Neodiprion lecontei: one gene and its partners. The protein of the gene in region 2 binds, or shares a complex with, the protein of the main gene of each other region. Links are inferred from orthologs where the notes say so. Each region holds a gene or a part of one and is shown on either strand. Other genes may lie near its edges.

Evidence for each region.
Region 1: probable pre-mRNA-splicing factor ATP-dependent RNA helicase mog-4 (region 2) and RING-type E3 ubiquitin-protein ligase PPIL2 share a complex: the UniProt entries of both Homo sapiens proteins name them as parts of the minor spliceosome. The link is inferred for Neodiprion lecontei from reciprocal best matches to the Homo sapiens genes DHX16 and PPIL2.
Region 3: probable pre-mRNA-splicing factor ATP-dependent RNA helicase mog-4 (region 2) and spliceosome-associated protein CWC27 homolog share a complex: the UniProt entries of both Homo sapiens proteins name them as parts of the minor spliceosome. The link is inferred for Neodiprion lecontei from reciprocal best matches to the Homo sapiens genes DHX16 and CWC27.
Region 4: probable pre-mRNA-splicing factor ATP-dependent RNA helicase mog-4 (region 2) and cysteine-rich PDZ-binding protein share a complex: the UniProt entries of both Homo sapiens proteins name them as parts of the minor spliceosome. The link is inferred for Neodiprion lecontei from reciprocal best matches to the Homo sapiens genes DHX16 and CRIPT.

What each region holds. Positions count from the first base shown.
Region 1 is NC_060264.1:9,675,751-9,684,887, reverse strand, and holds RING-type E3 ubiquitin-protein ligase PPIL2, read left to right. Parts: upstream 1-2,785; 5' UTR 2,786-2,896; coding exon 2,897-2,928; intron 2,929-3,636; coding exon 3,637-4,003; intron 4,004-4,391; coding exon 4,392-4,557; intron 4,558-5,013; coding exon 5,014-5,162; intron 5,163-5,382; coding exon 5,383-5,506; intron 5,507-5,591; coding exon 5,592-5,740; intron 5,741-5,822; coding exon 5,823-5,974; intron 5,975-6,067; coding exon 6,068-6,406; intron 6,407-6,889; coding exon 6,890-6,977; 3' UTR 6,978-7,177; downstream 7,178-9,137. UniProt on the Homo sapiens protein: Has a ubiquitin-protein ligase activity acting as an E3 ubiquitin protein ligase or as an ubiquitin-ubiquitin ligase promoting elongation of ubiquitin chains on substrates.
Region 2 is NC_060261.1:34,122,954-34,132,223, reverse strand, and holds probable pre-mRNA-splicing factor ATP-dependent RNA helicase mog-4, read right to left. Parts: upstream 5,964-9,270; 5' UTR 5,823-5,963; intron 5,756-5,822; exon of another isoform or gene 5,730-5,755; 5' UTR 5,688-5,729; coding exon 5,519-5,687; intron 5,426-5,518; coding exon 5,257-5,425; intron 5,175-5,256; coding exon 4,933-5,174; intron 4,859-4,932; coding exon 4,656-4,858; intron 4,571-4,655; coding exon 4,275-4,570; intron 4,089-4,274; coding exon 3,784-4,088; intron 3,670-3,783; coding exon 3,512-3,669; intron 3,430-3,511; coding exon 3,156-3,429; intron 2,749-3,155; coding exon 2,313-2,748; intron 2,192-2,312; coding exon 2,086-2,191; intron 1,990-2,085; coding exon 1,813-1,989; intron 1,715-1,812; coding exon 1,583-1,714; 3' UTR 1,222-1,582; downstream 1-1,221. Other genes in the region: N-terminal Xaa-Pro-Lys N-methyltransferase 1, read left to right, coding at 6,159-6,326, 6,534-6,720, 6,800-6,908, 7,031-7,286; heparin sulfate O-sulfotransferase, read right to left, coding at 7,577-7,788, 7,971-8,128, 8,251-8,348, 8,430-8,568, 8,644-8,729, 8,974-9,203. UniProt on the Homo sapiens protein: Required for pre-mRNA splicing as a component of the spliceosome. Contributes to pre-mRNA splicing after spliceosome formation and prior to the first transesterification reaction.
Region 3 is NC_060260.1:40,537,765-40,545,575, forward strand, and holds spliceosome-associated protein CWC27 homolog, read left to right. Parts: upstream 1-2,989; 5' UTR 2,990-3,085; coding exon 3,086-3,127; intron 3,128-3,433; coding exon 3,434-3,643; exon of another isoform or gene 3,644-3,685; intron 3,686-3,781; exon of another isoform or gene 3,782-3,819; coding exon 3,820-4,020; intron 4,021-4,154; exon of another isoform or gene 4,155-4,214; coding exon 4,215-4,354; intron 4,355-4,444; coding exon 4,445-4,699; intron 4,700-4,771; coding exon 4,772-4,945; intron 4,946-5,048; coding exon 5,049-5,236; intron 5,237-5,298; coding exon 5,299-5,624; 3' UTR 5,625-6,132; downstream 6,133-7,811. Other genes in the region: dynein axonemal heavy chain 7-like, read right to left, coding at 1-1,847, 2,073-2,160. UniProt on the Homo sapiens protein: As part of the spliceosome, plays a role in pre-mRNA splicing. Probable inactive PPIase with no peptidyl-prolyl cis-trans isomerase activity. As a component of the minor spliceosome, involved in the splicing of U12-type introns in pre-mRNAs.
Region 4 is NC_060264.1:28,956,763-28,962,451, forward strand, and holds cysteine-rich PDZ-binding protein, read right to left. Parts: upstream 3,104-5,689; 5' UTR 2,918-3,103; exon of another isoform or gene 2,651-2,917; intron 2,617-2,650; 5' UTR 2,603-2,616; coding exon 2,300-2,602; 3' UTR 1,777-2,299; downstream 1-1,776. Other genes in the region: uncharacterized protein LOC107218174, read left to right, coding at 3,660-3,670, 3,920-4,063, 4,323-4,954, 5,046-5,272, 5,455-5,590. UniProt on the Homo sapiens protein: As a component of the minor spliceosome, involved in the splicing of U12-type introns in pre-mRNAs. Involved in the cytoskeletal anchoring of DLG4 in excitatory synapses.

The DNA of each region.
Region 1 (9,137 bases), on a different chromosome or scaffold from region 2:
GCTTCCTAACAAAAATGAAAAGTTTTGAAATAAGTCTCCAATTGAATCAGTTCGTAGTACTGTTGGATCGGCTGGATTTTTATTCTTCATTTGAGAAGTCTGACAGACGAAGTTCAATCAAAGTAATCTAAATACAATACCATCATTTTATATTCCACAGAAATGTAACATTGAATTCATTTTAATCGATCGAGAATGAGATCGCTCGTGGAAATAAAGCCTCACCAATTAAGTGCGATTACAATATCAAAGTATTGCTACAAGCAAAAAAATTGAAACAAGATTAAAACGTTTTTTCAGAAAAATTAGACAAAGTTTCTAGAGAAAATGGGTGAAATTTCCAATATTGCTGGGTACATTAGTCCTACAGCGATTCAATAGAGCTTCAGGAATATACCGATGATAGATTCTTTTAAAAATAAAGGAAATAATGTACATACTATATACAATTCGTGAGTAATTCTAAAGCAGGTGCCAAACATGTTGTATGTCATTGATAAAAGTGTTGCAGGTCGTTAATTGTTTGACAAGTATTCGGATAACCTGTGCTTGCCGTTGCCTTGATACATATCAAGTATCAAGAAGCGTGTATTACGACCGCTGAGCGAATTGTGCAAACAACTGTTTTGAGACGTAACGATGCAAATTTAGCACATGGAAATATAGAGCACCTGTACTTGCTAATGCGATATATAGAATGCAATGCGTAAGGAAAAAGAATGTATATAAACAGCAAAAACGATGTACGAAAGTTGGGAAGACTTACATGATCTTTGGATTCTAACCACAAACTAGGAGCTAATAGCGGCATGTAAATTGTGACGGCAGTTTTGAATCAGAATTATGTGAATGAAATGTTCGCTTGTTCCCTGTGTTGAGAGCTAAGTAAATAAAAAGTAACAAAACGGATCAAGGTGGAATGATGAGTGGCAGATTAGCGAACTATACATACGTTGAGAAAATTAAAAGCCGAATAAGAAAATTGTGAGAGCAATGTAAAAAAAAAAAAAAAAACATCAAATATCAATGGGACGAGGTATCCGTAGGTATCGTGAAATTACGTGCGTGTGTGTGTCTGCTTGGAAATATTTTATTCGAGCCCATGCTAGGTATGTACGTATGTATCTACGTCTAGGAGGTGAGCTCACGAATTTGCGGTGCTGTTCGTCCGGTGATCGAAAACGTCTGCAGATTGTAGATATCGTAGATATGGCAAAATGCAAATTAAACGGACAACACTGATTGCGAGCGGGCGATCGAGCACGTTGACATGAGAAACGACAAGCCAACTAGATAGATAAGTTAGCGAAAGGGAATTAAGGCAGGAGCGAATTTGTGCATGTATTACCTAAACGCACTCACACAGTGCAGACTTGTTTTCAGTTGCAGTTAGTCTGAAAAAATGATACATAAAATGAAGAATGAAGAGTAGGAGAAAAAAGATAAATTACAAAAACCACTGAACAAAGAATCGAGACATAGTGCGAAAAAGAGGTGACTGTGTTTTTAACCGCGGTGTCAAACGCGAGGGAACCTGTGACCAGTAGCCACGGGGAGACAATCACATTGGAATATGTAATAAGTATGTACCTTGTGTATGAAACGCGTAGGACGGCGTGTTTGCAAACAAGCAAATAGCGGCGGTCGGAACTGGCGGCTGATCGCCGGTATGCTTGCCGGGTGTCGAGGTAAACGTTAAACACAACGGCGAGAGCTCGCCGGATTTGGATAATGGAGGTGCTGCACCGCCGCGACGTGCAGCTCGGGTCTTCAGACTCCTCTGGCTGAGGCCTTGGAGGCCGCCCCAATAACCCGACTGCGAACCCAACGCGGCGTCCTGAACCTTTATTAATCACCGATTTACTTCACGCTCTCATTTGCTCACTGCCATAAGATACCACGAGCCTAAAACATACGCCGATACCCTCCTTTACCCCGTTTTTGCTAATGGACTATTTTTTATTTTCATCGGAAGCTCCGCTGCTGCTGCTGGCTGTTGCTGTAACCAACCAAAGAAAACACAAGCGCACAAAGGGAAGAATTTGAATCGCCCTCTCCTGACTGACCCCCGGAAGACTGCTGCTGCCCAGTTGTTCTCAACCAAACGGCTTATTGTCGTTTACACGCGGCTTGATGATTCTTCTTGACCGACCGAGCTTGCCCTTTCTACAATTCTTCCAATTACTCCTTAGGAGAGTTATCAAACCGATTTTTACTCTCGCAACGAGTTGATTGGGAAAGAATATAATCATCGAGCATCGAGCTATTCGTTAAATTTGGGGAGAAAATTTACTACGACGGGAATATCGGCGCTACTTCGTGCTCAAATATGGCGGTTCTATTTACGGACTTTGCATATTTTGCTTATAAAAACAGCCCACGCTCATAAAACTATGACAGTATGGATGCTCCGCAGTTTCAAGTGAATCGTTAAAAATTTAAACATCAATTTTGTTTCACTTGACACCGAAATGATGGTGTTGTTCGCGAAATTGTTAATCGTCGGTATCTGACCAATAATAACTAATTTCTTTGGCAATTCTGTTGAACATTTATACCTTAAGTCTGGCAGCACTTACGCTACTCCTATCAAGTTATCAAATATGAGAAGGAAAATATATTCAGTATTTTCCTTCTCAATTTATTCGGGAAACTATATTCCCAGTTACCGACCATCCATTCTCAAAGTCATCGAGTGCCAGGATTGAACATCACTGCCGGAAACACTTCCCAAATTTTGAAGCGCTTCACTAGCGTTCCTAGAGTGACTTTGCTTCCAGCAAGTGACACAGTCGTAGAGAGCGCTTCGAACGCGTGTGTTTATTGGACTTTATTTTGACAAGTTAACATATAATAAACTTTTTCCCTTTGATCGAATAACAAGGAAACTATCACCATGGGGAAGCGACAGCATCAAAAAGATAAAATGTAAGTATTTATGAAGCCCTTTAAAACCTTCTTCATCAGCAGTGAATTGTATAATCTTCTATTACAATTTTGAGGTTATGGTCGAATCAATATTTGGGCCATGTTAAAGTTTAACATCGTAATAATGATCTCACAATCCCGATGTTCACTTAAACTGCCTAACTTATGAGACGACCTTGTCTCATTGTTATGAACACTTGATTATATTTATTTCAGAGATGATGAATATGCAAAAATTGACAAAACCTTCACCGTAACATGAACTTTCATTCAATTTCTAGTTATCTACCTTTTACAAATGTATTACTTCATTTTCCGTACATTCTTACCAAAATATACAATCAACTTAAATCTGGCAGGGTTTGATCTACACTCCCGAAGAATTCCGATTCAAATTTCACTATAAAGTTGGAGACTATTAATTTTTCAACTATATTTTAATACTTTCGTCCTGCATGCAATTTAATGCAATTTGAATGATATCTAGTCGGGTTTTCCAGAAAACAAGAAAGCCTTTACATAAATGCTTGCAGGAATTCAGTCAATACTGAAACTATTGAATTATTTAGGGGATTCTAACAATCTTAGCATCTATATTTAATTTGGTAGTCAAATTAATCAAGGACATAGTATAAATGTAAAATGTTTAAAAATCATATTGGGTTTACATGGCAACATGAATAAGTTAAATCTAATTGTTCACTTTAGGTACCTGACCTATACGGAATGGACAACATTGTACGGTGGCAAGAAAGCGGGAACATTAGAATCAACAGAGGACACAACATTCCGTCGTTTGCCGTACAATCATTGCTGCGTGAGCCTGCAACCCTTTGAACATCCGTACTGCGATGTGGATGGAAATGTGTTTGAGCTGCAGGCGATCGTGGATTATATTAAGAGGTTCAAACATAATCCAGTGACAGGAAAACCTCTAGATGCCAAATCTTTGACTAAATTAAATTTCTATAAAAATGCTGAGGGCGAGTATCACTGCCCTGTTCTTTTCAAAGTATTCACTAAACATTCTCACATTGTGGCCGTCAAAACAACGGGAAATGTTTATTCCTATGAGGTATGTCAGGCTAACTGGAATTTTTCCAGTGCAATATGCTTTGTAAATATTATTTGAAGGTATGAGTGTAATAGAATCTCAATTAGTCGGTTGCAGATGTTGCTGGTGGCGAATTATCCGTTTATGCCCGCCATCAGCAGTTGAGAATATTGCGACGAGTTGTAGTTACTGATTTTCAAAGAAATATCTAAGTTAATCAATTTTGTTATCAACCAAAATTATAGAATTTCATTAAACGTTTGTAAGATTTTTTATGGAAATCTTCCTAAGAGGTCAAAATACGTTACGAATGTGTTCGAGATGAAAATAAAAATGTATATCTGCCAGATGTGGTTCTATCTAGTCTAGGTAGCAAAGTTTCGTCTGTTACTTGAATTCTTAATTCCAGGCAGTTGAGCAGTTGAACATAAAGACACGAAATTGGAAGGACTTGATAAACGACCAGCCTTTTGAACGGAAGGATCTAATCACTATTCACGACCCTAGCAACGCAAACAAGTTCAACTTGTCTACCTTTCATCATATTAAAAACAATCTGCGAGTGGAAGACGAAGGTTTGATTTTCTTTTGTGGAAAAATTCTTACTATATTACACCATCTCATGGGAAATAAGTAAAGCATGAAAAGAACAAAAAACTTGATGCATACTGAAAGCACTGCTCAAATGATCTAGGTATCTTCGGTTGTAACATTTATGATCTTACAGCAAACTATTAAGAGCATTGCTGTATTCAGTAATAATTTAATTTATTGTACAGTGAGACGTCAATTGTTCAAAATAATTAAAGGACATAGGTATTTACCAAATAGAAATAGAATAGGCTTAATAGAATTTATGTATTTAATATTAAACTCAAAAAGAAAATAATTGGAAGACAGTTTGTGGAATCCAGAATTGACCATAAATTAATTTTTTTGTCACTTGAATTTGCTTCTAGTTTCTATACTTTATCATTTAGATATGCCAATTTTATGACGATGCTCATAAATACTATTTTTATATACTGCAGAGATAACAAAGGAGCGCAAGGATCCCAATGCTAAACTAAAAACTGTATCTTCTGAAACCAGAGAAATATTGGAGGAGTTGAACAGAGAATTCAAGCCTGTGGAGCCTAAAGATACGTCCACTAAAGATAAAGCGGACAAGTTCAATGCTGTAAGAGAGAAGACAGTGATAATCCTTTGTCGATTACATAGCATACGTTACGTACCTTTCGATATATCAGCTTGTTTACCTGGCCAAAATTCATCTCGAAGTCTTTATTCAGTGATGAATTGTTAACCAATATATACGGAGCTGTAATGACTGACATGACCACGTAGATATCTTCAAAGGCCGAAAACATACTTATGGCTGCATTGTTGTGTTACTTCAGGCACATTATTCTACGGGAGCTGTGGCTGCAGGCTTTACATCGACTGTAATGCCAAGAGAAACGACACATGAAGCAGCGATCGTAGAAGAAGATTTAGTACGATATGAACGGGTAAAAAAAAAAGGTAAGTTTTAGTGCACATGAATATATTGTAGTAGTTTTCAATTAATGCAATTTTCATGCAAACATTTTTCCGCCGGTATTTTCAGGCTACGTACGGTTCATTACAAACTTTGGATCCCTAAATTTGGAGTTGTACTGCGATGTGGTTCCGAAAACTTGTGAAAACTTTATGAAACATTGTCAAGATGGGTATTACGATGGCACCAAACTGCACAGGTCTATTCGAAACTTTATGGTATGATTTTACAATGCATATTCATCGCAAAATTCAAGTTATAATACGAGCATTGATGTATGGAGCTTCATTTTCGGTGCAGATACAAGGAGGGGATCCCACAAACACTGGCAATGGCGGGACGTCAATTTGGAGCAAGCCGTTCGAAGATGAATTCAAACCAAATTTAGTTCACCAGGGACGAGGTATTTTGTCAATGGCAAATTCTGGTCCCAATACCAATGGATCTCAATTGTAAGTCTGTTGATAAAGAGTACAAAATGTTCAGTACTTCACTCACTGGACTCACCGAACGTATTTACCTTGAACAAAATTATTTTTTTACAGTTTCATAACTTACCGATCGTGCCGTCATTTAGATCGGAAGCACACAGTATTTGGTAAAATTGTTGGAGGGTTAGACACACTGAATGCGATTGAAAAAATTGAAGTTGATAACAAAGACAGGCCGATTGAAGATATAATCGTACAGCGTGCCCAAGTCTTTGTTGATCCTTTTCAGGAAGCTGATGAACAATTAGCAGCTGAACGGGCCGCTGAAATCCAAAGATTAGCACTAGAAGAATCAAATAAAAAATCTAAAAACAAAAATGAAGGAGGCAATGTACTCAAAGTGTATCGTAGTGGTGTTGGCAAATATGTGCAGTTCAATGACGAACAAACAAAGTAAGTATTTTGTCATGTGTTTAAAAAACCAGGAACTCATCTACATATTTAATGTTATTTATCGACTGATAAAAGAACAAAAATATATATTGGAAATTATAAAAGTCTAAGAAACTTCTATTGTTTTCATTACGTTTCAATAGTTTTCTTTGCATCTTTTGTCCGACCAAATCAAAATATGCAATAGAGCAGGGATCACTAATAATATCATTAACCCAATATACTTCACTTATTCCATATCGTACATATTTTTCATATGAATTTAAAATTTCTTGACAGTATCAAATCATAGTGGTGAACAGTCTTAGAAAACCTTAAAATATCCTGGCGTTATAAAATCCTACAATCATTCTCAATCGGTTTTATTTAATGATTTTCTTTGCTTATACTAATATAACTAATAATAAATAATACATTCGACAAATAATATCGAAATATCTTTACTAGTAATTATTGAACTTTACAATTGTATGGTTTTTGCAGGACTGAAAAGGTAGACACGAGCAGTGAGCCAAAACCTAAGAAGATTAAAGATGCATCTTATACGTTTAAAAATTTTTCTGCGTGGTGAAAGAATATCCTTAAAAATACATTGTAATTATATTCATGAATTGTATAGTTTTATCAGTGTTGAATATTGCCCACAAAGTTGAAAATATTCAAATTTTTTAAATATTTTTTTTTCAACTCACTAAATATAATATTAAAAAAAAAAAAACTCAACGCTTTATTCTAATACTAGAAATTTATCCGTTATGTTAGCTTGCCTAAGTCTGTTACACTGCAATATAACTGAAACCAAAAATAATCTTCTGAATCGAAAATAGTCACCAAAAAATATTTGTCGGCCATATTAACATCTTTAAATTTGCGAGAAGATTATTTTCATAAATAATAAAATTTTCAAAAATGAAGTATTGTATTTCGGATTGCTTCAAGGCAGTTTTGTCATCTGTGTTTGCATATGCTGTGTCAGGGGTCTGGATTTTTTTTGATTGCAAACACTTCATAACCAACGGAAATAGTTGAAAACAAGTTTTATACATGCTACATTATTGAAAGATGGAAAAAAAATGTATACCAATTACGGTGAATTAATTTATAATATAAACTACAATTGGTAAAATACAATCAGATATTTATTATACGTAATAATTGATGAAGCACATAAATCAGGATGGAGAAGTAAAATACATGTATCGCATACAAGCGTCATTAAATCGGCATTCATCATTTTCTATAATAGTATCATAAGTCGAGTAATTCGTTCTCAGAAAACAATTATGTATGTATATTAGGCAAAGGCAGAGCTGGGCTCCTCCATGTTTGATGTTTCGCCGCTAGTCTCTTATCGAAATCCTTCCATATTGTCATCGGTGACGTACCGTCTTCGGATTGTGGCCTTTTGCAATCAGTTTTTTAATAACAGTGCCTGTGAAATAGTGGCCCGGAATTTCCTCGAGGCAACTGGTCAAAGCTATGGATGACTTAGGTAAGTACTTATTAATTTAAATAATAAACAGTGACAGAGATAACCTCAAATGTCGCACTTGCTGATTTTTAGGAGTGTGCATGTTCTGTTTTTGCGAGAGTTCATTACATTCGTCCTGTACCAGGTACCTTAAACACGAACGAACATTTACATACGTTCGTACATTCTCTCGTTTGCAATTCAAACGATATTGCATAATGTAACCAAATATTCCATTATCGCCTTACAGTGCGCATTTTGATTGATGCGTCTCCGTCTCGTTAAATACGGCGGGAATTTTCGAACTGTTACTAGTGTTGAGCATGCAGAAGCGATTCATGAAATTGCTGGAGTATAATTCAACGTAACGAGTATGTAAGCTACAGCAAGCTATGCTCTGTAAATGTGTTTGTAGAATGATTATGAGTATGAAGTTACTTACGTTACTGTAACGATGCATGTCTAAGAAAAATCGTTACTTCGCATCTTTAGGAATATCCGAGATTTAGTAAACCATTATAAACAAAAAATACTTTAATTTTGAAAAGCCAACTCCTTGAAAGTAATTTAAACATTTCCCAATAATTATATGATTTTTTAGCACAAGCTTTCGTAACGTTAACGTTACTAACTTCAGCCTGATGAATGATTGATGAGATTTTTGTTGAATTTATAAGGTTCAACTTAATAACGTTGCTGCAACAATGCGTTGAAAGAAACATTACTATATTTCAATATCAGAATAATTTTTAAGGAGTTGAATTTCCAAAATACGAGTCTTCCACTTTTGTATTATGATTTACTAAATTGCAGATAATCCTAAAGTTTCGAAAAAGCGAGTTTTCATAGAAATACATCGTGATGGTAATCGCATTTAAGTTTATTACTTTGGATTTTTGGACAAATTAAAATGTTGAAGATTTTTTTATTTACACACACGAATGATGTTTTCTGTAAAAATAAAATACGATCGGACTTACAGGGTTCGAAAACTAACAGCAAGTTGATGCATTTCATCAAGGGATGCTATAGACTTCTGTTTTATCAACCCATTTGTTTTTACAAATTATTCGATAACCGTCAATGATTCGGCAGTACTCTGAGTGCCCAACGCAGGCGTTTTATTATGAGGAATAATGAAAAGCGCACAATTTGCCGCAATCGTTTTGACAATGCGAATTTGAGGAATTCGCAATAAACAAAATTAGTCATTCGCATGTGATGCATCGTAAATGAGAAAATAACAGATGACAAGTGACA
Region 2 (9,270 bases):
GAGATATTTCATGTAACGTAGATGGCACGGTAAAAAATGTTCAGATGACAAAGGTTTGAATGAGAAATACAAGTGAAAAATAGCGAAAATATCTGTTGCAAAATGATTTGTATATTGCGAATGAAGAAAATTGAAGTACTCGCTGAAAATCTATTTCTGTAATTCTCAGGGTCTATCAGACTCTGTTCTCAAGTTTACATGTTATCAAGATTTTACACAAATTTTTTCGAATTTTTACCCAAAATATGAAAAATTTGTAAAATGAGGTCTCCTAGATCCAGAGTATACTCAGTGATAGAAAAAATAGGTGTGTACTCCGAAGGTTAATGGATAGAAGTGATTCATTCGGAAATGAACATTCACTGCATAAAAATTTAGAAATTAACTGGTAGATATTAATTGAATATTCAGAATCTTCAAGTATTTTCTCAAATATGTTGGGGATAAGGGCATGAGCCCAGAACAAAAAATTTTTTGTTAATGTGATTTGTTTGAATAAAAAATCAACCCACACGAAAATTCTGAAGAAATGTGTTACAGGTTGATATGTAAACAACATATTCATCCTAAGAGAACCCGTTTTCTTAACTCTGTTCGTTCATGACTGATAGAAAATAAAAAATTTCATGAAAAAACCTCTAGGAACATGTGAAGTAAGTATATTCAAATTTTTTTTTATATTCTATTATCAAGTAAAATATCTTCGTCAAATGTGTTCGCAATCCTCGAACTGGCTTTCTTCCTTTTTGCCTGCCCATGAACTTACCGCCCGGGGCAAGAACTCTGATTTGATACAACAACAAATAAATACATAAATATGCACGAGTTTTGACGCTCCTGACAGATAGGACTTGGCTACACGAAGAAAAAATAGAGATATGCGACGAGATAACGTTCGTCCCCTAATTAGAAAACCGGACTCGAAACTTTCAACATTAAATAATCACCTTCTATTGATGGTTACTCAATGCTTTCAGCCTTAAATTACGAAAGAATAAAACGTAGCATTGGCATTCCTAAATTTACAACCATATAATTTTCTCTATCCTCGAATGAGATAAGCAACAATCGCCTGGGAAGATTTTCTTCAAAATTCTCAAAATTCTTCAATGCACTTATAGCAACTATTCTCGTTTCTGGAAAATATCGCACTTTAGGCAAGTACCCGTTACCATAATTAAGCTGCAGATCAGATCTGTATAAAAAAAAAAGTACATAACGTAATATTTTAATTATTTATTTACTTTTTACCTGTAACGCAGTATCAACCTTTTTACCTTGAGTAAATTAGATTCCGAAGCTTCGCACTTCCTAATGTACGTCACAGTTAGAAATATCATGTTTTCAAAAACTCATCCAACTGCATAGTCGTATCACTTGAATTATTGTACAGTAATGACAAGTGTGCTTCAATTAATATTTACAAAATACAATACGTAAACAATACCAAAAATAAGTGCATGCCAATTTTTCAACTCTGAATGAAGTATGAAACAAAATTTATAATCGTGCCCATTGATTAGTTTCATCAACACAAATATCAAGCACAGCCTTATTTTAATCCAACTAAGACATTTTCCCATCAATTTGTTCCATCAGGACCTGATCTACCCGTAATTTTTGGCATCTTCTTATTTGTCGAATCTTCGAGTTCTTTCGGTTTATAATAATGGGGTGCTACTTCGAGAAGCCATTTACTTTCGATCTCTGTTACCTGTAAATGATTGATTAAGTTAGAAACTAAGTTCTTCTCCAGAACTTGGACATAAGCGTGATTTTTATTTCCAAACTAATGTTAACTAACATCATTACCTGTCGCATGAATTCTTTGGTAGTAAATACGAGCTCGTGATAAAGCAGCCATCGAGGTAGTTCTTGGAACAGAGAGCTATTTGGATGGATGGAAACAGTCTGATTGTGTTTGGCTGTTTTGTAGTGACCACCTTTCGAAAGGCGTGAAACATGATAAAAGTAACCAGCCGTTATTGCCTGCAAATTAGTTATAAAGTAATATCAAATGTACAATACACACATAAAAATAACAAATAATCAGATCAAGTGAAAATGTTCAATTAGCAGGAATACCTTTCGTATGTTAATTGTTTCATCAATACCAGATATCAACTCCATTTCAACTCTTTGCATTAAGCTTACAAGTTGTTCTCTGACGTCCCTAGCTCTCTTCATGGACCTATCAAGAATGAAAATTAAATTATACTTAATTCATTGTTACAATATTCATTTGTAAATGGCAGATACTGAGCGTTGAACCTGAACACGATCGGGATAAAAAAGCTAGGACAAAAAATTACCTATGCTGAATGAAGTTTTCATAACACCAATGGGTGCTAAAGTCGCTCTGCTGCCACTGATTGTAAACGTTCAGTAAAGTGAGATGATCCCCTCCAGGAACGTGAAAATTTTTTCTTGCAGTATCTGCATGGATGATCTTGTCTTTCGGACGGTAAAAAATAGCTCCATTAACAGATAGCATCGCAGCAATAGTCGCTATCTCCTCTGAGCAACGATAGCGTTCACTAGCTAAGAGCATTTTGGCCATCATTGGGTCTAGAGGGAACTCCGCCATCCTACGACCAAGTTTTGTCAGTTCTCCACGATGATTTAAAGCCCCTAGTGCGTATAGCTGTTCTAATGCCAAGACCAAGGTTTCATGCGGTGGAGGATCCAAAAAATCGAAATGTACCAAATCGTTTATGCCTAGTGCCTTCAATGTCAACACTGCATTACCTGCATTATTAATTTTGTTCATGTACACGCTAACGGGATCTGCATATTCCTATTTTAGGCTGTTATTCTCACAGATAGTATTTGTTTCCCTAATAGTATAACACTGACTCCAGAACAGACATTTTGAATCAATAATTATCCAAAATGCGATTTTTATACTAAGTCTAAATATACAAAATTATTCTGTTTTTCCAAGGAAAGTAGATCAACGTATACTTGAAACATTTATTTTTCATTTCTAGTCGCTTTGTAGAGATATCTCTATCAGATGAATAGACATCATGTCAGTGTCACAAAAATGAGTGGAATTGCCAATATAATGACGTTCGTTGTTCTCTGCCTTTGGCGAAGTTATGAACTTTGAGACTATCTCTGCGATTGACAGCCAATTTGAAAATATACTGTACCAAGATTAATCCTCTGTATTTCGGGAACGGTGTTATCTTCAAGTTCGTGCTGATATGCCCAAGCAGTATACAAGCGGAAGCATTTTCCCGGGGCGACTCTGCCAGCTCTGCCTGCTCTTTGATTGGCTGAAGCTTTACTAATTGGAACAACCATCAAGCTCTCCATTCCTGTTCGAGAATTGAAATTATTCTGCTTGGCAAAGCCAGGATCAATCACATAGACGATATTATCTATTGTCAATGATGTCTCAGCAATATTTGTTGCTAGGACTACCTGTTAACAAATAACCAGCTCGATTGTAATTAACAGAAGAAGTTTAAACAACTATTCAAAATCATAATGGAATATTTGTTACCTTACGAGCTCCAGGAGGTGTAGGTTGAAATATCTTTGCTTGCATATCACTGGGTAAGTTGGCATAAACTGGTAAGATAAGAAGCTCAGCCAATTTAGTCCCCAATCTTCTGACACGTTCCTGCAACATCTCCTGGCATGTCTCTATTTCATCCTGACCTATCAGATACAGTCAAACTTGTTACAGAACTGTGAACATAGCTCAGCCACGAATATAAAAACAAAATATTCGAACTACATTTTTTACTTAATGCAAATTCAATAAATGCTTACCAGTAAGAAAGACAAGTACATCTCCGGATGGTTGAGTAGCGTGTATTTGAAGAATAGATACAACGCAAGCGTCAATGTAATCAGCCTCTGGTGCCTTTGTATAGTAAATGTCAACAGGAAATCTTCGGCCAGGTATGCGAAAGATTGGTGCCTCGTCAAAAAATTCACTGAACTTTGTGGCATCTAGTGTAGCCGAAGATATCAACAGCTTGAGGTCTGTACGAAATCTTGTTATGTCTTTGACCAAACCAAACAAAATGTCTGTATGCAATGTTCTTTCGTGAGCTTCATCTATGATCATCACACTGAAAATTCAATCAGATTCGATACTTTTACTTGTAGTCTTACATAGGTATATGGATCTATATAATGACTTTTTGCTGTCAAACATGGATCTATGCAATAAATTAAACTGACTGTACAATTTCTTGAAGTAGAAATTAGGTTTTATTATTTTGAAAAAAGTTAAGCATACACTTAAGGACAAATACCTGTAAGTAGCAAGATCTGGTTCACTAAGGAACTCACGATGTAAAGTTCCGTCAGTCATGTATTTGATACGGGTACGCTGAGAAGTACAGTCTTCAAATCGAATAGCATATCCAACTTCGTTTCCTAATTTAACAGCCATTTCATGTGCAACTCTTGCGGCAACAGACATTGCAGCAACTCTTCTGGGCTGAGTGCAGCCTATGACTTTACTGTCATCAGCAAAACCAGCCTGATATAAATACTGTGGAATCTGAGTTGTTTTGCCAGAACCAGTTTCGCCCTCAATAATTAACACCTGTTCAGACATAACATAAATCTTACAGTAAAAAAAGTACAAGGCAAATGAATGAGAGTAACGTAATACAGATATCAAATTTCACCTGATGATCCCTGATAGCCTGTATCAAGTCATTTTTAAAAGGATATATAGGAAGACTTTTCTGTGTCTCTTCAATGGTAGTTAAAACTTTCATTTCCTTCGGAGGAGAAACAGCTTGTTTCTTATGCTTGGAGCTTCCTGGTATCTGCAGCGCCTGGACAAACTCTACTTCATCTTCCAGCAACAGATCATAATCCTGTTTAGCTGTAAAAAATTAAATATTCCTTAAAAATTATAAATAAGCAAATCTTACTGATAATTGTGAGAAGAATTATTACCTTTTCTATCTTTTGCCCCAAAACGAAATACTGCTGATGACATCTGGTCCGACTCCCATTTGCTTTGCTCAGATTGCGGTGGTTCTGGGTCAACAGTTTCAGGCTCAACAGCATCTTTGCCTCGTTCATGAGGCATGTGATACCTTTGCACCCGTTCCATTTCACGCGCCTTCTCATGCTCTTTGGCAAGCTGAAGTAGCTGCTTTTTATGTTCTCGTTCCCTCTTTTCGCGCTCAGTCAGGCTGTTAAATGAATTTGATTTATAATTTTGAAAATCAATACTTCAATCCAACCAGAAAAGTATTCTACTCCTGTAAAACTCACATCTCATCTCCAAAGAGATATTCATCGTCTAATATGTCAGCCTCGAGCTCAGCTACCTTATCTTCCTTTCGTTTCTCTAAATACTTCCTCCGCGATTCGACGCGAAGTTTAGGAATAAGCTTATCACGAGATTGAGTTTCCATAACCTTAAGTCTCTTGGCTGCTTCCGCTGCAAATTTGATAATATTAAGTGTATGAATGTCACCACTAAGTGATTGTATAAAGCTGATAAAACAACTTAGGACATTTTGCCTAAACTTACCAGCCCCGGATCCAGCTGGTGTAGCAACCTTGCGCACCTTCGTATCATCTTTGGACTTGAGACGTTTGGCAAATTCATCCCTTTCCTTAATATCCCTTTTGCGCCTCTCCTCTTCGCTGTCACTGTCACTGTCTTCTGGCGACGATTGCTTCCTCCTATACTTGCTCATTTTCTGTTTCTAAAATCCTCAACGACTCATCTAGGCTAAGTCCTGAATTATATCACAACGGTTAGTAACTGAAATGAAGGTTGAAGCAGATTATTAAATTTCGATGTTATCGCTGGACAACAGATGAATACTCACTAACAGTTCTGGTAAATGTATGAAAACTGTTTAACGTGCGTATTTTACGGGACCGGGAATGATAATACGATTGTTAAACAACAAACCACGATACAAAAAAACCTGACCACTAATTTGAAATAGTTTGAAATCAGCCATAAAAATCGTGTTTGAGATGCACACACATTCGGGTAAATAAGTTTGCCTTTTGGAACGGTCGAGGAAAACAATAATAATCATAATAAAGTCACAATATAAAAATTGAATAACCCGGGTACATTTTAAAATTACACAATGAAAGTGATGTGTATAACAAATTAGAAAAAGTGCTCAAATCTTAAAAATATCAATTTAGTAATGGATGATATTCAGAAAAATGACAAAAGGACTGAAAATTTTTATTCCGACGCTGCCAACTACTGGTCTAAAGTCCCAGCCACAGAGGATGGAATGTTAGGAGGATTTGGGTTCATTTCGAACACAGATATCGAAGGGTCGGAATTATTTCTAAGATCAGCCTTCAAGGTACGGTATTCAGTCAAATTTACACAAAATTGTGTTTCATAAATATTTTATTGATGCTCGCCACATTGATGCCGAGATACCTAGGAACGTAACCTCAAAATTCAAACCCACATGTGCTTTCGTATAATTTTGGAATCCATCTGAAGGCTGATTCCAAAAATATATTTTGATCTATATTCTGTGATTTCCATATAACGCACGTTTCAGTTAAAAAATCCTCCGAGAAAAGAATATGCTTTAGACTGTGGTTCTGGGATTGGCAGAATATCAAAACATCTACTTACCAAACACTTCAAAAAAGTTGATTTGGTTGAGCAAAATTCCGAGTTTCTAGAAGCAGCAAAAACTTACCTCGCTGGTCGTACAAAAAGAGTTGGGGAATTTTTTCCCATAGGTATGAAAGTAAAAGCCTGAGAATCTTAAATAATTTACATATAATACATGTAATACTTTACAGGATATTACTCTTACAGGTCTGCAAAACTTTTGTCCTGAAGTAGGGAAGTATGATGTCATATGGTGTCAATGGGTTTTAGGACATCTACAAGATAACGATTTTATAAAATTTTTCAGCCACTGTCAGTTAGTAACATTTGCTATTCATATTTTGTTTCAGTATTGTAATTTACAGTGGAAATGAGAATTTACCGTATAATTTACAATGTAAAATAGTAATCTGTAACTTTGTAAAATATATTCAACAGGGCAGGACTCAAAGAGAATGGCGTGGTAATAGTAAAAGAAAATATAACAAGTTCTGAAAACGTTGAAGTTGATACACAGGATTCCTCAGTAACACGCCCACTGAAGGAATTACAACGTTTATTCGATCTGGCTGGATTTTCTTCTGTAAAGGAACAAAAACAATCCAGACTTCCACGAGGTCTTTATCCTGTTTATATGTTCATATTACGACCTAGAAAAATCATACGGAATTCTGTGAGCAATGTACTACAGTAGAAATAAATAGTTCACAATTATCACATAGATCAGTTTAATTCCGACATTGCACACAACAATAAATATATATATATGATGATTGTTAATATTTAATTCTTTGATATGAATGAAATTGTAAAGAAAAACAAGAAAGACCACTTGAAAACCATACACAAGAATAATTTTTAAAAATTTTAACACTTTTTAATTCAATAAAGTTTATACTCAACTGGTTTAATTTTTTCAGATACAAAGTGTCGATTCACTAAATAAAAATATTTCAATACTCTTAAATTTACCATAGTTTAATTTCATTTTGGTCTGATTTTTTCATACATGAAGTGTTGATTCGCTTCCTGCGGCGTTGAGTTTATAACACGCTTTTTTACTGCGTGAAAATGAGCCAAAACATGCATGTATAAATCATTCTCCATCTGCCATACTTGCGAATTTTGAATTTTCTTCACAGTTTCTGGGAGAGGGTCAATTTTTTGGGTAGTTTGTCGTAAGTGGGACTTGCTATCTGAAAAAATTAATTGATTTGAGATTTTTTTAAATTATCACAAACTGTAGTTGCGTTATATTGTAAAGACATTGCCAGTGGATAAAAGTAGTAGACTAGAAAAATTATTAAAAATTTGATTGAATTTTAAAACATGCTATGCTTTACTATTATCAATCCTTAATATCTAACACGTGTCTTACTATGCATAAAGTGATCATAGGCTCCTTTGAAAAATCGTGGTAGTGTAGCCTGAAGAGTTTGTACAAATTCTGGTAATTCTTCTGTGACTCCAACTAGGAGGTAGTGTTTTTCTACATTTCTTTTAGCTTCTGCAACTGCCCATGGATTACCGACTTCCCTTTAATCAATTAAATCATTACATTCAACTAAATATACGTTTGTGATTATAAAAGATAAGAAATTGCACAATAATTCTCAGTCAATTGATTTCCAAGCATATTAAGTGTAAAAACTTCATACCAACAAGCAGGTTCGTGTCCACAGAGGAACGGAACTTGAAGCCACATATTGTTTGGATCACAGTCAGGTTGTCCATGTCTGACGCACTCGTCGAATGTCTGTAAGATGTAAGGTATGTTATCTTCACAAAGGATAATCTTACAAGGAAGAAAGAAGCGGAATATGCTAATTGATAATACCTTGGTGTCGCCATGCTTTTTTCTTATTAAGTGTGGTCGGAAATTATCTCCATATCTTAGAAAGTAGTAATAAGATACGAATCTGTCCAAAGGTTTTCGTAATAAATTTATATACAACGGTGTACGCTTAACTCCGAATCTGAAAATAATCAATTAAGTCGTTGAATATATTGAATTTCTCTCAAAGTTCTCACATACTTACAAAGATACTCACTTTTCAAAGTTTAAAAAAGCTACGTGACCATGATAAAAAGCTGGTTTCATTGCATCCCATTGAGTAATATTATTTACAAATTGTACCTGAAAGATAAGTCTATTATCGTAAACGCTATTTTAATTCCTTCAAATATATGCATTCAATACCGAAACATTTGAACTTCTGTTAAATAAAACAATGCATTTCAGTTTTGTGCACGTGATTCTATACCAGTATATTAGAGGTCAAACACTGTGCACAAAATTTTGGATGTTTGGATTGTTTCAATCAAAATTAGCACATTTATCTGTCAACTCCTGGGGCAATAGATGGTTTCTTAGTAAATACCTGATTTGGAAGAGTAAGTGTATGCATGTTGTTGGTGACATTGATGTGTAAGGAATGATACTTGTTTTGTTTGCATAGATCATATACTATGCCCACAAAACTTGTGGAGCCTGTCTTTGGTACTCTGTTGTATATCACGACCACATCATCGACACTTGATAATGGGCTGTCCTCAGTGTGACTAAGCGATTCGATGTTGTTTCGCTTTTCCATCTGAGCCAATGCATTTTCTGAAATTAACAGAATCAGGTTGAACGTTGTTTGACTATAATTTTCTATGCATCTGTGATATAACAT
Region 3 (7,811 bases), on a different chromosome or scaffold from region 2:
GATTTCACCAAAACGGGCGAAATATTCGTCAGTTTTTTGCTTGATCACATTCGCATCTAGGTAATCGAAAGGTCCGTCGAGCCATACGTCATTGTCACGTTTCCATCTGTAGATCAAGCGAACGAGGGTATGGAATGGCTCAATCGTTTCTTTCACCTCATTAACCTTGGTGAAAGTTGTTTCCGGAAACTTAAATAGCCTCTCCTCCAGATTGATCCAGCTTATCTGTTCGTCTATCCCTTCAACGTGTCGCATCAACATACTGAGGTCGTCAGCGTACTCTCGAATGCGTTTTGCGTCATCCATATCATCGAGAATTACTAGTTTTGGGAAAAACTTGTCGACTTCTTCGTTGAGCACATTTATGCGCCTCTGCAGTTCGTCTTCTAGCTCGCATTTTGTCGCCTCGCATAGTATTGAACTTTCTTCAAACACTGGCCCGATTTTAATGAGCCAATTTATCGTTTGCCTGTTCAGCTCCAGATGCCAGTCGTCCAGAGTAGCAATCCCTATTAAGGAGTCTAGCATTTCAATTGAGCACCGAATCTTCTCTTCAAGTTCCCCAATTAGTACGCTGGAAGCGTATGCCATGTATTCAGTCAGCAGGAATAGGTCTTTGGCGTTATTCGGTACGTTCAATGCCTTTGTTGTCAATTTTTCGAAAGTCTTGCAAATCGACTTATTGTACTCTTGATGATGCCTCACTAGCTCTTTGACAACGATGTCGACTATTCTTGCGGCCTTTGATTTCAGAATTGACTTTGCTGTGGCTTGTGCAAGTTGCCCAACTGCGTAATACTCGTTCGCAACCATATCGTTAGTTTCTTTTATGAACCCAATGAATCTTTTCACTTCAACGCAGCATTCGTGGAACTCGCGGTATTCACTAAGAAACTCCACAATTTTCGCTTCAGTTTCAGGTCTGCATACGACATCGAATTTACTCTTGTGTCGGGCACAATGAGAGTTCACAGGGTGAAAGACTTTTTCTAGGACTGTTTGCAGTCTCTCGTGGGCTTCGTTTCTGAACCATTTTGGCAGTTTTACGTCCATGTAGTTTCTCTTGGTTTTTATCTTCAGATAGTACTCGAAGGGAGTAATTTCCTGGCCTAAGTTTGCCACATCCTCTACAATTTGGTGATAACTTTGGTAGATCTCCTCGATGCATGGATTCATCACGAGTTCGCAATTCGTGTAAAAGAGCTCGAGCTTTAAGCGTGGACACTGATGTGGATCACCCAGAACTTCAATCAAGTCTTCTATGGTCATTATCATGCGATTCAGGATTTCTTGGACAAACAGTCTTGTAGCGCAGCGTAAGAATTGCGTCAAAGTTTTCACTATGCAGGATAGATCAAGATACTTTGGTCTTTTTAATAGTTTTGCTACTTCGTCGTAATAACGCCGCATTATCAGAAGCCCACTGTTCCGAAGATCTTTGGCAACGGCACCCTTCAGCTTGTGTAACTCCAGTAGTCCCAAGCTGTGATAGCGAGAAAATTCTAGGAACTTGTCCGGAAGTCCAGAGTATGCCTTGGCTTTGATCACCCTAATCAATTTGTGGGATAAAAAATACTGTCCTCTGATAAAGTAACGATTTTTCAAAAACGTTTCATAATTTTTTGTCCGGCCTTCGTGAGCAAAGGGAGTCCCGATTGGTGAGAGATCAGGATTTTTTTTCCTTAGACTTGGATGCAGTACCATTTTAATTCCAAATCCATGCATTTCTTCGAGATATTTCTGTCTCGTCTCGTGGATTATTTGTTCCACAATGTGTGGGTATTTGAATCTGATACTTTCGGGGATTAGTCGCAGAATGTTTTCTTCCCACTCTATCGGATGTTCAACTGTAGGTATAGAATTGCCATAAAATTTTGCAATCTGGATGTAAAACGATTCTGGTAACTGGAGGCGTTGGTAACGTGTCTCAATACTATTATTACCCACATCCCTCATCAATAATTCTTTGGCACGCAAATTATCGGCAGAGCTTGCAATTAACTCAACTACTTCACGCGTTCGCTCTTTCTGCGTACTAAATTTAAGTAATGGATTTTTTTCGTAGTCCTTACTTGTAAACTGATTCAAATTTGGTATCGGAGGTCTTCGCGGCACCTTTGTCTTGCCGTAGACGAGATTATAAAACTCTTGTTTTTCCATGTCAAATTATTTTTCTTGTATTTAGTAATTTTAGTCAATTTAATGTAAGTCTATAAGTTTATTTTCAGTCTTTTATTACATCATCCATGCAAGTCTAGAAAAAACGATATATCGTGCAAAAAACAGTGGGACGAACTTTGAATTACTTCGCTATATGTTAGTTTAATTAATTTTACCTTACACGCGCGTATATAATTACGAACACAACTTAAGTATATTCGTTTTGTTATTACTATATGTACTATAATTTTTAATGGAAAAATATGTGTGCGGTGATAAGAATTACTTGTAAACCACGACAGCGAACTGATGTTTGGTCAATAATACCTATATGTTCTTCTTTGTCTTGCAGTGTTACGTCAGTAGTTACTACGGTAAATAAGTATACCTTGTAATTGGTTGAGTTATCGTAACTATTATCGAGCATGATTAAAAAAAAACAACACGTTTCTTGAGCATTTATGCATTAATATGGCAGATTTACGAGTCTGTTATGCTACAGGAGACCCGAAAATCAATCTCTGGAGAAGTTGGTGGTCTTAAATTCTGTTCATAAAACCATTTGACGCAATAGTCAAATTAAATGAATTGATTTGAAATCACAGCTTCCAGCATGGCGTATTTTTGATGCCCAAGCTGTTAATGAACAGTAAACAATTTCTACGTACGGTTTGTGTGCCTAGAGTTTCAAACTTGAATGAAGGATTCTTTTGTACCGACGTATCAAGTGAGGTGTGCTAAGGGGCTAATTTTGTTTAAGAGTCTAAGACTTACCAACGGATGGAAGTATAGACAATTTAGTCCTCGACCAATGAATGAGCTCGATGAGTCCATCTGTTCCTGTATGGAAATATGAAAAGTCTATAAACTACTAGACACTAAAGTTTTCAAATATTTTTGCATATGTTGAAGATATTTGACCACTATGAGTAACATATACATACAAGAGCCGCCTACAACAGGGAAGGTATGAATCCAAATAACTTTACGAGTCTGCGACAAGAATACTGAAATATAATCTGCGCGGAACAACTTAACCTCCAATTCGTACGGATTTACTGTTAAGATTGTCGCCGAGAATAAGGATTAACAATTGTACAAGTCGTTTTAATATGGTTTAAAAGCAACCATCCAGTTTATTCATACGAGTATTTCATACCAGCGGCAGTTTTATAATGCATGAAGTTCGCTTTATCTCATCGTCAACTTTATATCGGCAGTGAATGTTGAGGTCTTGCTTATAGCATATAGGCTGAATCTTAAATTTTTCTAGGTGATACTGCAGACCACTGTTGGCGAAATAGACTTAGAATTATGGACTAAGGAGGCACCAAAAGCTTGTAGAAACTTCATACAGCTTTGTTTGGAAGGTTATTACGATGGCACAATTTTTCATAGAGTTGAAAAAGGTTTTATTATACAAGGTGGCGATCCCACGGGGACTGGGGAGGGTGGCGAGAGTATATACGATGGCCCGTTCAAGGTATGGCACTATTTTAAACGTCGTCTTCAATTGTATCATTATCTATTGAGGTAGAATTAAACTGATCTGTCGTTACTCAATTACTGTTGAGCATTTTCAATGAGAAATAGAAATACGCATACAATATTTATATCGTACTTGCATACAAGTTGAAGAATTTTCTTTATTCATTACAGGATGAGTTTCACAGCAGATTACGTTTTTGTCGGAGAGGCTTGCTTGCAATGGCGAATGCAGGAAAAGATGATAACGGTTCTCAGTTTTTTTTCACACTGGCAGCAACTCCTGAATTGCAAAATAAACACACGATATTTGGTAAAGTTACAGGAGAGACAATTTACAACATGCTCAAACTTGAGGACACATTGGTCGATGAGGTACTGGGAATTTTTTCGTCATATTCCCATATGGAAGTTGAGAATTTTTGGTACGTTTAGTAGTTCGTTTTAAAGTATCCATCTCTCAAGTATAAAATGCAAGAATTGAAAAAAAATTTTCATCTTTAACGTACCAAATGTGACATTCATTTTGACGATTTTCCTAAATTTTTAAAATACGATATTCATTCCAGAACGATCGTCCATTGTATCCGCAAAAAATTGTTAAAACAGAGGTTTTAAATAATCCATTTACCGACATCGAGCCTCGAGTTGAACCCAAACAAGTTGAGGCAGAAAAGCTGCAAAAGAAAGAGAAAAAATCTGGCGTGAAGTACTAATCTTTTTTACACAATTCTAGAAGAAGTTTTTACCTTGTTAACATTGTTAATATTTTTGCCGTGCTGAAACCTTGTAATTGCAGAAATTTCAAACTTCTGTCTTTTGGAGAGGAAGCGGAGGAAGATGAAGAGGAATCTGTTGTTTTGAGCAAACAGTTTAGCACCAAGGGAAAATCAGCTCATGATAATTTGGCCGATCCTAAGCTTAGTTCAGAGCTTGCTATAGACAATGGTGAACCATCTAGTAAAAAGATGAAAGGAGATGAGGATAGTGATTCGGAGAGTGCAACCGAAGAAATATCACTCGATGAGATTGCCAATCTGAGTAAAGAAAAGCAGTAAGCAATGTTTATTTTGCGAATTCATCTACAAACTAATGACTTTTTAACTATCGGACTTTACTCTGCTAGAGCTATGAGAGAAAGGATAAAGAACAAGTTAAAAGACGCTAAAAGTACATCAGATAATAAGAAACCAAAAGATCGGAAGATCGATGAAGTTCAGAACATCGACAATGATGCTGAGCCCGAAGAAGAAGCTTATTACTTGGGCAAAGATCGTGATGAAGAACGAAAGAAAAAAGCGTATGTAATGAAGATGATATATTTTTCCAATTTTGAAGTAGATTGAGATTGGCTGCTGGTACCTCTTTTAACCGTTTAAATTAATTTCATTATTGCTTTTTAGTGAGGAGATACGAAAGGAAATTCGAGACTTGAAACGCGACGTCAGAAGTGAAAAAAAAGCAAAAGAAGAGGAAGCCCAGATACAGGTGGAGAAAGAACAGGAGAAGGAAAAGAAATCTAGCGTTTTAAGGGAGTACATAGAAACCCAGGAGAAGTACAAGGAAGCTAAATCGAAATTGCCAAAAAAAGGTAATTCCTCCTCAGAGAGTATAATTCTAATACAGTGTTTTTACTTTTCTGCATTCTTACAGGCGCATCCCGAGAAAATTTCACTCTGCAGCTATTACAAAAGTTTCGAAGTAAGCTACAAAGCGCTAAGGAACAGGTTGAGGAGTCAACTGAAGTCGCGGAAAAGAAGAAAAAACCAGATAACCAAGACGATGACGGTTTTGACGACGAGAAATGGATGGCGCACACTTTACGGTTCGAGGAAAAAACGCCAGTTTTGGCTAAAGACGCTAGTACAAAGGCCGACGATTGGTTCGAGATTTATGATCCGAGAAATCCGTTGAACAAAAGAAGACGCGGTGAGAAAACACCAAAATTGAAAGACGGTGAACACTCTCGGCATAAATAATAACTATAAAACGCTAACGAACCGTATAGACTTCCAAAAAAGTGTCGTTTTCAAAATTGACAACCAGTTTCCATTGATCTTGATTATAAATTCCAAAACTGTTACAAATCGAATAAGCGTCATCCATTTAATGCAAATCTGATTCAACATTCGCAATTCGACAACCTAAACACAGGATTTGACTACAAATTACAAATGGCATTCGCTAAATGTAATATTTTCTTTATATGTATACATACTTACTGTACAAGCAACTCACAGTGTACATAATTCCGCTACCAGTTCCCGGTAGCGCAAATATTTAGTTTCAATTCAGGTAAAGCGGTGTATTATTAAATTATTCTGGTGGAAATATTTGCATCGCAACATCTATTTGCAATGTTTGCACTTAAAACGGGATGATAATCAAACGATGTAGAAATGATATAGTATACGATCATGTATCGATAACTCTAATCCAATGAATAAATTAATTCTTTTTTCTAGAGGTACATTTCATGTCGGATACTACACTTGTTTCACCCCTTGCACGTTTTATTTGCCTAATCAGTGTTGCGATGTGTGGCGATTAGCATGTCAACGACGGCCATGTTCACTGTCAAATATTTCTAAATAATTTCTTCACAACCAGTTCGTAGACGTACCTTTTTTATTCTACTGGCAAATAAACATTCGTTCGGTAGTTAGGCCAGTAGTTCGACTGGTCAAGAGTCAATTCAAGATTATATGCGGCACTGATAGACTGTTGTGACGTTGTATGAATGTTAATGAAAGAATGTAAACACGCCGAAATGATGAAAAACACAGCGTGGGAAACGCCGCACGCGTAAGATAAGAAAAGATCACATAATTCTGCAATGACTTGACGGTTCAGGATTATACGTGCAATCGTAAAAGAGATTTGAAATGTATGAGAGTAAATCGAGAATAAGCGGGTTGGTGAAATTTTTAATTTTGTTATTCTTGTTGTTATTACCCGTTACTATTGTTATTTTTATTATTATTATTGCTATCTTTTAAATAGCCGATGATATTGCCATGTAGTTATAGTATTTGGATCTGGCAATTACAGCGAAAATCTACCATCGCTCGAGAACCGATCGTATAGCGAAATAAGATAGCTATAGACGCGAAATTTATTAACGTCCCATAAAATGCCTTATACAATTTATACACACAGTAAAATTTATTTGCTTGGATTTGCGTGATTTGCAATTGGTCGTAATTGTGTTTGCGAAGCGGTTCCCGCGTGCCGTAATATAATCCGTCCCTAATTCTACTAGAAAATAAACAAATCATTTTTAAATGGCAGAATATTTGTAGGTATGTAGGCAGTCCTGATATCGCGAGGGAAATCAGTCGTAGCGATTGTGAAGAAATAAGCGTTGAATATCTGCGGATTACCGGTTCTATCTGTGTTATTTTAATGCACGTATGTGTGGAATACACATAATGGTATACCGTCATAATCTATATAGACATTTGAAAATTGATAAGAGAAAACGACTAGTAATAAGTTTGCGCGGGATAAAGCGTCAGTCAGCCAGTAGACAGCGTTCAGTGGAAATCTATTTCTTATATAACTTCCTGCCATCTTTACACGCACGCACGCGCATAATATATAATGTACAAACTTATAGAGGAGACGATAAGATCGCGTAGAGCGTAAAAATTATCAGCGCACGCTCGCTGTCAGATAATTCGTCAGTTTGTATTTAGCCCGTTTCGCTGGACCATCTAGTACCGCATTATAGTTTTTTCTTTTTACTTCTTTTTTTTTTTTTTTCAAACAATATTCGAGAACAACCGAATGCATAAATTTATTCATAATTGATATTACTGATTACGGACACTCGCTGACTAATGTATTTAACATTTTGATGTATATTTATATTGTAGTTTTGTATTGTTTTTATAACTGTGTAGTTATGTAGAACTGACGCATCCCACGATTTATACACGTGAAAGCGGTCTATTCTGAAAACGATAAATATTTTCTATATATATAATGAAATGCGCGGGTCAGAACAATACATGCGCGGAAATCTTATAGAGTAGGATTTCCTTCGAAATCAGTCGATGTAGAGAGAAGAATAAAAAAAAACAGCATTGAAAATACCTTCGAACTAAAGTGATCGTGAGTTTTCAACATCGTCAGCCGGTATCGTAATTGTAAATGTAAATTGC
Region 4 (5,689 bases), on a different chromosome or scaffold from region 2:
CGATGCAAATTTTATTTGATCAAATGTAGATCGTAAATAATAAGTAATTGAGTATTGAACAATAAGGGAGGAGCAGAAATCTTTAAAAACACATACTTTTACAACAAATTTTCTCACCCATGAATAATATAAGGAAAATTACTGTACTGTTATATTTTTTTAGTGTTTCCTTTTTAATTTTTAACTATGATACAAAAGTCAAGTTCACCTCGACCAGATTTAAGTAAGAACGCACACACGGCGTACAAATATTTCAACATTGTATCAAATCAAACGATGCGCTGGTTAATTGTAATTCGTATTTATAATTGTGGAAGTGCGATTAATTCTTGTGATTACTGTATAAGATCTGTGAACTAATTATTAATGTATACCGTATTGTACATACCTACATCGTATATGGGAGAAAATATATACGTCTAGTGTATGTATATTTGCATCATAGCTATAACTAGTCCTCTGTCATACAGCCGTTGAGGAATATTAATAATAACTAATCGACTTAGAAATATATTTACGCCTAAGTTTGAGGGGGTCGTAACATCGGATCAGCAGGTGCGCGGACGTTACCGATAATAGAATACGTTATGCAAACAATTTTATTTTACTCCTAGTGCAATAGAAAATGTGACAATCACCAGAGAACAGAGAAAGGGAAGCTAGAAGTTTGAATTTTTTGTTTTAACGAACAATGAGATTAATGGCCGCTACTGCAGACTCTTAAATAGTTCACTTCCCGACTTGAATCTTTTTGTACTATTGTCAAAGCCAGAAATTGGTGACACTTCAAGTTTCGGTTGTTTCAACGAGAATTTTAGTTCTTGCATGATCGAAAAACATCTATATTACTATTGTTATTATTATTATTATTATTGCTTTTACAAATTTTCTAACTACCGAAAATTTCAATAAGCGAATGTACCTATCATATGCTTTGTAATTTATTCACGCAGTATACCCTTCATGGTGTTTATTAATATGCCCACTTAAATAATATTACGCCAGAATTATACAGATTTTTTATATTTTGTATATCGAATATGTACCCCTGATGGTTAATTTCAATTATTTTTGTTACGCGTGTATAGTAAATACAGATAGTATAATGGTTGGGTGAATATTTGCAAATAGTATAACGAGGAAAAACATTTATACTGCTATATCTTCCATAACGTAGATGCGTTGTTGTTAGGCTTTGGATTCACATAACGCATATATGTATGTACATATTATATATATAACGGAAATTTTTTCGCTTGCGCATTTTCGTTTTTCTTTTGAAAAACTTCATGGTGCCACAGAGAGGTTGTTTTCCAAGAACGCAAATTTGCATAATTTCTTTCAAGAGATTATAAAATGACCAGCTTAGACATTATTTAAATAACACAATTTAATAATGTGTAAGATTGGTTATCAGTTCAGTAAATTTACATGGGTATCTTTCACAAGACTTGATGGTTTTTAACTTGACACAAGCCCGATTCAGTTTCTTTTGTAAAATTTGTTCGTCGCATTGCATTATAGCGAATGAGAAATTTTTACGAGACTAAAATAATATCGGCTAATATGGAAAATATTTTCGTACACTTTTTGGAAAGTTAAAAACCATAATTATTTCAGTAATCTCCAGTTATGTAAGCGACGATAAATACACGTGAAAAAAAAAATTTGTTAGTATGGGTGTGTAAATTCTTTTACTGTGAAAATAAAACTACATAAGGATATGACGATTTTATAAGCGTGAATAACGGAATGAAAAAAAAGACAGATGAATTGTTATGATATTATACAATATTGCATATTTTATTTAATTTTATACAAACATCATGATTTATTATTATTATTATTATCATTGCTTAGTATGTAACAAATGTTTGTATCACAAAATAAATAAATCTCATTGTTTACAAAAAAAAAAATAAGGAAGACAGCAATAACAATTGCAGCGTTAATGCACCAAATATTATACATAATTCATAATCCTTCTTACACCTCCAAGTTTTCAATAACCGATCATCTATGGTGCGGTATTATAAAATCTGCCACCGTCGTGATATAAAGAAAATAAGGTCGTACCTTGAATAAATAAATTACATTTTTGAGGAATCAAAAAACCCTGTATTTTGAATTGCGCACAGATTCTGAATTACCCTGGGACTCTCTGGTTATTCCCTTATACCCCGGCAAAAGTGAAAAGGAGGAAAACAAATCTTTGACTCAAATACAGTAAAGAATAGCTTCATCTTGATGATATTTCTCATGTCTTGTTAATCTTCCGTCACGCACTGCTGCGCACCATCTACGTGGCGGACTGTTTGTAGTTTTTAGTACTCATCAGCTTTTTACCGCACATAGCGCATATGGCCTTTTTGTATGCGCAGGATTGGCAATAATGAGATCCGACCTGGTGAACCTTTTGTCTGCATATTTTGCAGGTTTCGAACTTAGCTGTGTACGGATTAAATCGCGCCTTGCTAGTCGACAGAGCTTTGTTTTCCCCAACTTTCCTTCCTCCACTTTCCACCGTGTTTCTGGCCCCAGATTTCCACGGGTCTGGTGTTATTACGCGACCCAATTTTTTCTCGCACTTCTCGCACACCATGACTCAAAAAGAATCTTGAAATGGAAAAAAATTTTCACATTTGCAGATTTTATGCAGTGAATAAATTGCTAGTTTATGCAGTATTTTATGTCGATTCAAGTGGGACGGTATTTAGCTTTCATAATCAGAAAAAAGATCAGAAACAAGAAAAGAAAAAAGTTTCGGGCAATAATAGAGGATTACTAGTTTATGGTGAAAAAACTGAATTTTTTATGTTGGGTCAGGTAACGCTGGGTCAAGGTTAAGGTTAGGTTATATTTGTGTCGGAATCAAACGAACGCGTCGGCAAGTAGAGGCAGTTTGATTGGTACTTACCGTTACTAAAGCTCTAGAATCGACACAATTTCACTGCAGTACGAATCGTCTGATGGTACGTAGTCCTTGATTTTCAAAAGTTCGTGAACTTGAGAAGGGCAGGTTATGTTAAGATGAAAACAAATAACACCAGTCTTAAGCGTCCTTTTCAGGTTAAAGCTCTGTGAATGCTATTGTTACAATGTTACAACTTGACACGAATTTACACCCTAGGCGCGCTGCTAACGGCCAAACTGGACGTAATTTCGAGTACAGTTGGCAACACTGAAGTCACTATGACCACGCGACTTGAAATTTGTGCGAATTCAAGGGGATTCCTCGATTTTCGCGCGCGTAACTAATTTGAATAAACGTAATATCGACTTATTTAAATTCAATGAAATAATCAGGATTGAATTCTCACTACTGTAAGTGATTCAGCATCTACTACTGAATAACCCGAAGTTCTGTTTATTCAGATTTCGCTCACGTTCTATCGTAATTGTCAAGTCGATCATATATTTGATAACAGGTGAAGTAATGAAATAACGTATTTTAGATTAAAAGTCCCTGAAATAGAAATTCCCGTTTACAAATGTGAGCAATGGGCGTATAGAACACTGGAAGAAGAGCCCCATTATATCATACGCTTATCACCGCTCTGACGTATCTGATTTCCTGATTAGCCGCGAACTGCTAGTCACTATCGATATCGTGCAAATTATCAACAATTGCATACAGGCTGACGAAGACATCGAACAAAATGAGTGCTGGGTATGTAAAAAACCCAAACAAACATTGACAAACCGTATTTACGAAACTGTAGGAATACAATATCGTAATTTGAATAAATTATGTCTTTTTAATCATTTGAATCATGTTTCAAAAAACTGAAATTTAGGAGGGCGTAGCCAGAAAATTTTTGACATCTCACTGTCGAGTGTATTGTCACTCACTAGTGAACAACAAAATATTTTCCATATTTTAATTACGCAAAAGAATTTATATAACAATATGTTTCAGGCCCAGCATCTGTCACATTCTGGATTTTCCCAATGAAATTTTGATGAAAATTATCTTCCATTTGAATGCCAGAGAGCGTGTGCCTTTGGGTAATTCATGCAAAAAATTACACAGTCTTATATTCGAAGAGAAAAAATTATTAAGGTGAATACATAATTCCTATTTTTAATTTACTCTTCATATTTTCATCATTCCATGTAAAAGATTAATATTTCTTATCAAATGAAACAGCTCAGTTGAAGTTAAAAAATTCAATCAACCTAATCATCCTTAATGATTCAGTTGCAAATATTAGAATGGAGCTTACATACGTGATTCAATATATACGTATATCAACGAAAATCCAATTATATCCCACACTAAGCAATATCTGTGATAAGATTTTTCTATCTGTGCATTTCAGGAATTTAGATTTTTCCAAAGACGGGCGCCTGACATCAGTTTCTGACATCCGTCAATATTTTGACAACAGCAAAGCAAGCAGGTACATTCAGAGAGTAAATTTGAGAAATGTAAATTTTATAGAGCCGGAGCAGATGCTTAACGATTACATCGGCAATGCAGTGAACATAGTTGACTTAAACATAAGTGGCACAAGATTTGAAGACGTACAGGGGTTGGGATATTTCCTAAAGTTATTACCACATGTAAAGAGACTCTCTATCGACTGGCCAAGACGAATGGAAGATAACGCTGAACCTTGCTGCAAGGTTCTACGAGGGCCTTTAAGCAAACTCACGTATTTGTCAATACAAATATGGCATCCACCACATACAAAAAAGTTTGTCCAATATTTACAAATGTGTCAAAAACTCAAGGAGCTACGCATGATTGGAAGGAAATCCTGTTATGTTCCTGCAACAGACGACCTTCCGTACTTAAACCACAAAAAACTTAGGAGTCTCGAAATCATTGAATTTTGTGGACCCTGCTACGGCCCCGAGAAGAGATACTTCATGACTTTGCTTCCAGAACTTGAGAAATGGACTGATTTTCACGTTCCCAAGTATTACATTCAGAACGGTTTTTACTTTGGTATGTTTCTGTGATAAATTGATTTCAAAGTAACATTGGCCGCTCAATATCTAATCCCATTTGATCTGATAGCAAATCTAATAATTTTTAGAAAAAAACGTGCCATTTGCTAAGAAGCTACGCAAGACAAATTTGATGAAAAACAATCCTCGAAATATTTACTTCGGCAGCTATTTTGAATTTGGCCAGTCTGTGCTCACAGAACGCCTTTTAACAGAAGTGATTAAAGTCACCCATAAAGACCCGCCAAAATGTTACTGTTGTTTATCTCTACTTCATCAGACAGACATATGTGTTATCAAGATCGAGGAGGCAAAGGTAAAAGTACACCCTAAGTATCGATCAGTTTTTCAACAAAACTCTCAAACCCAATGGGTTGTTATGAATTATTCTAACCGAAATTGACGTCATTTAACAATGACAATATGTTGAGGAACAAGTTATTCGAATTTTTAAGCGACGACGTGATAAGAAATACTTTTATATTCTTAATGTTTCAGCGACTGCTGAAAGATCCAAGTTATGAACTTTCGTATTTACGTATCAATCATAACATAAAAACAAATTGCGATGCGCATTTAGTCGTATCCGCTTTTCCAAAACTCACCGAGCTCATTTTATCCAACATAACAAAAGGCAAGGGAAAGTCTTTCACATAACATTTTTGAACACCGTTTTAGCGAATAATTAATATTTTTGTAATATTTTAATAACTATATATCTACGGTTGACCTC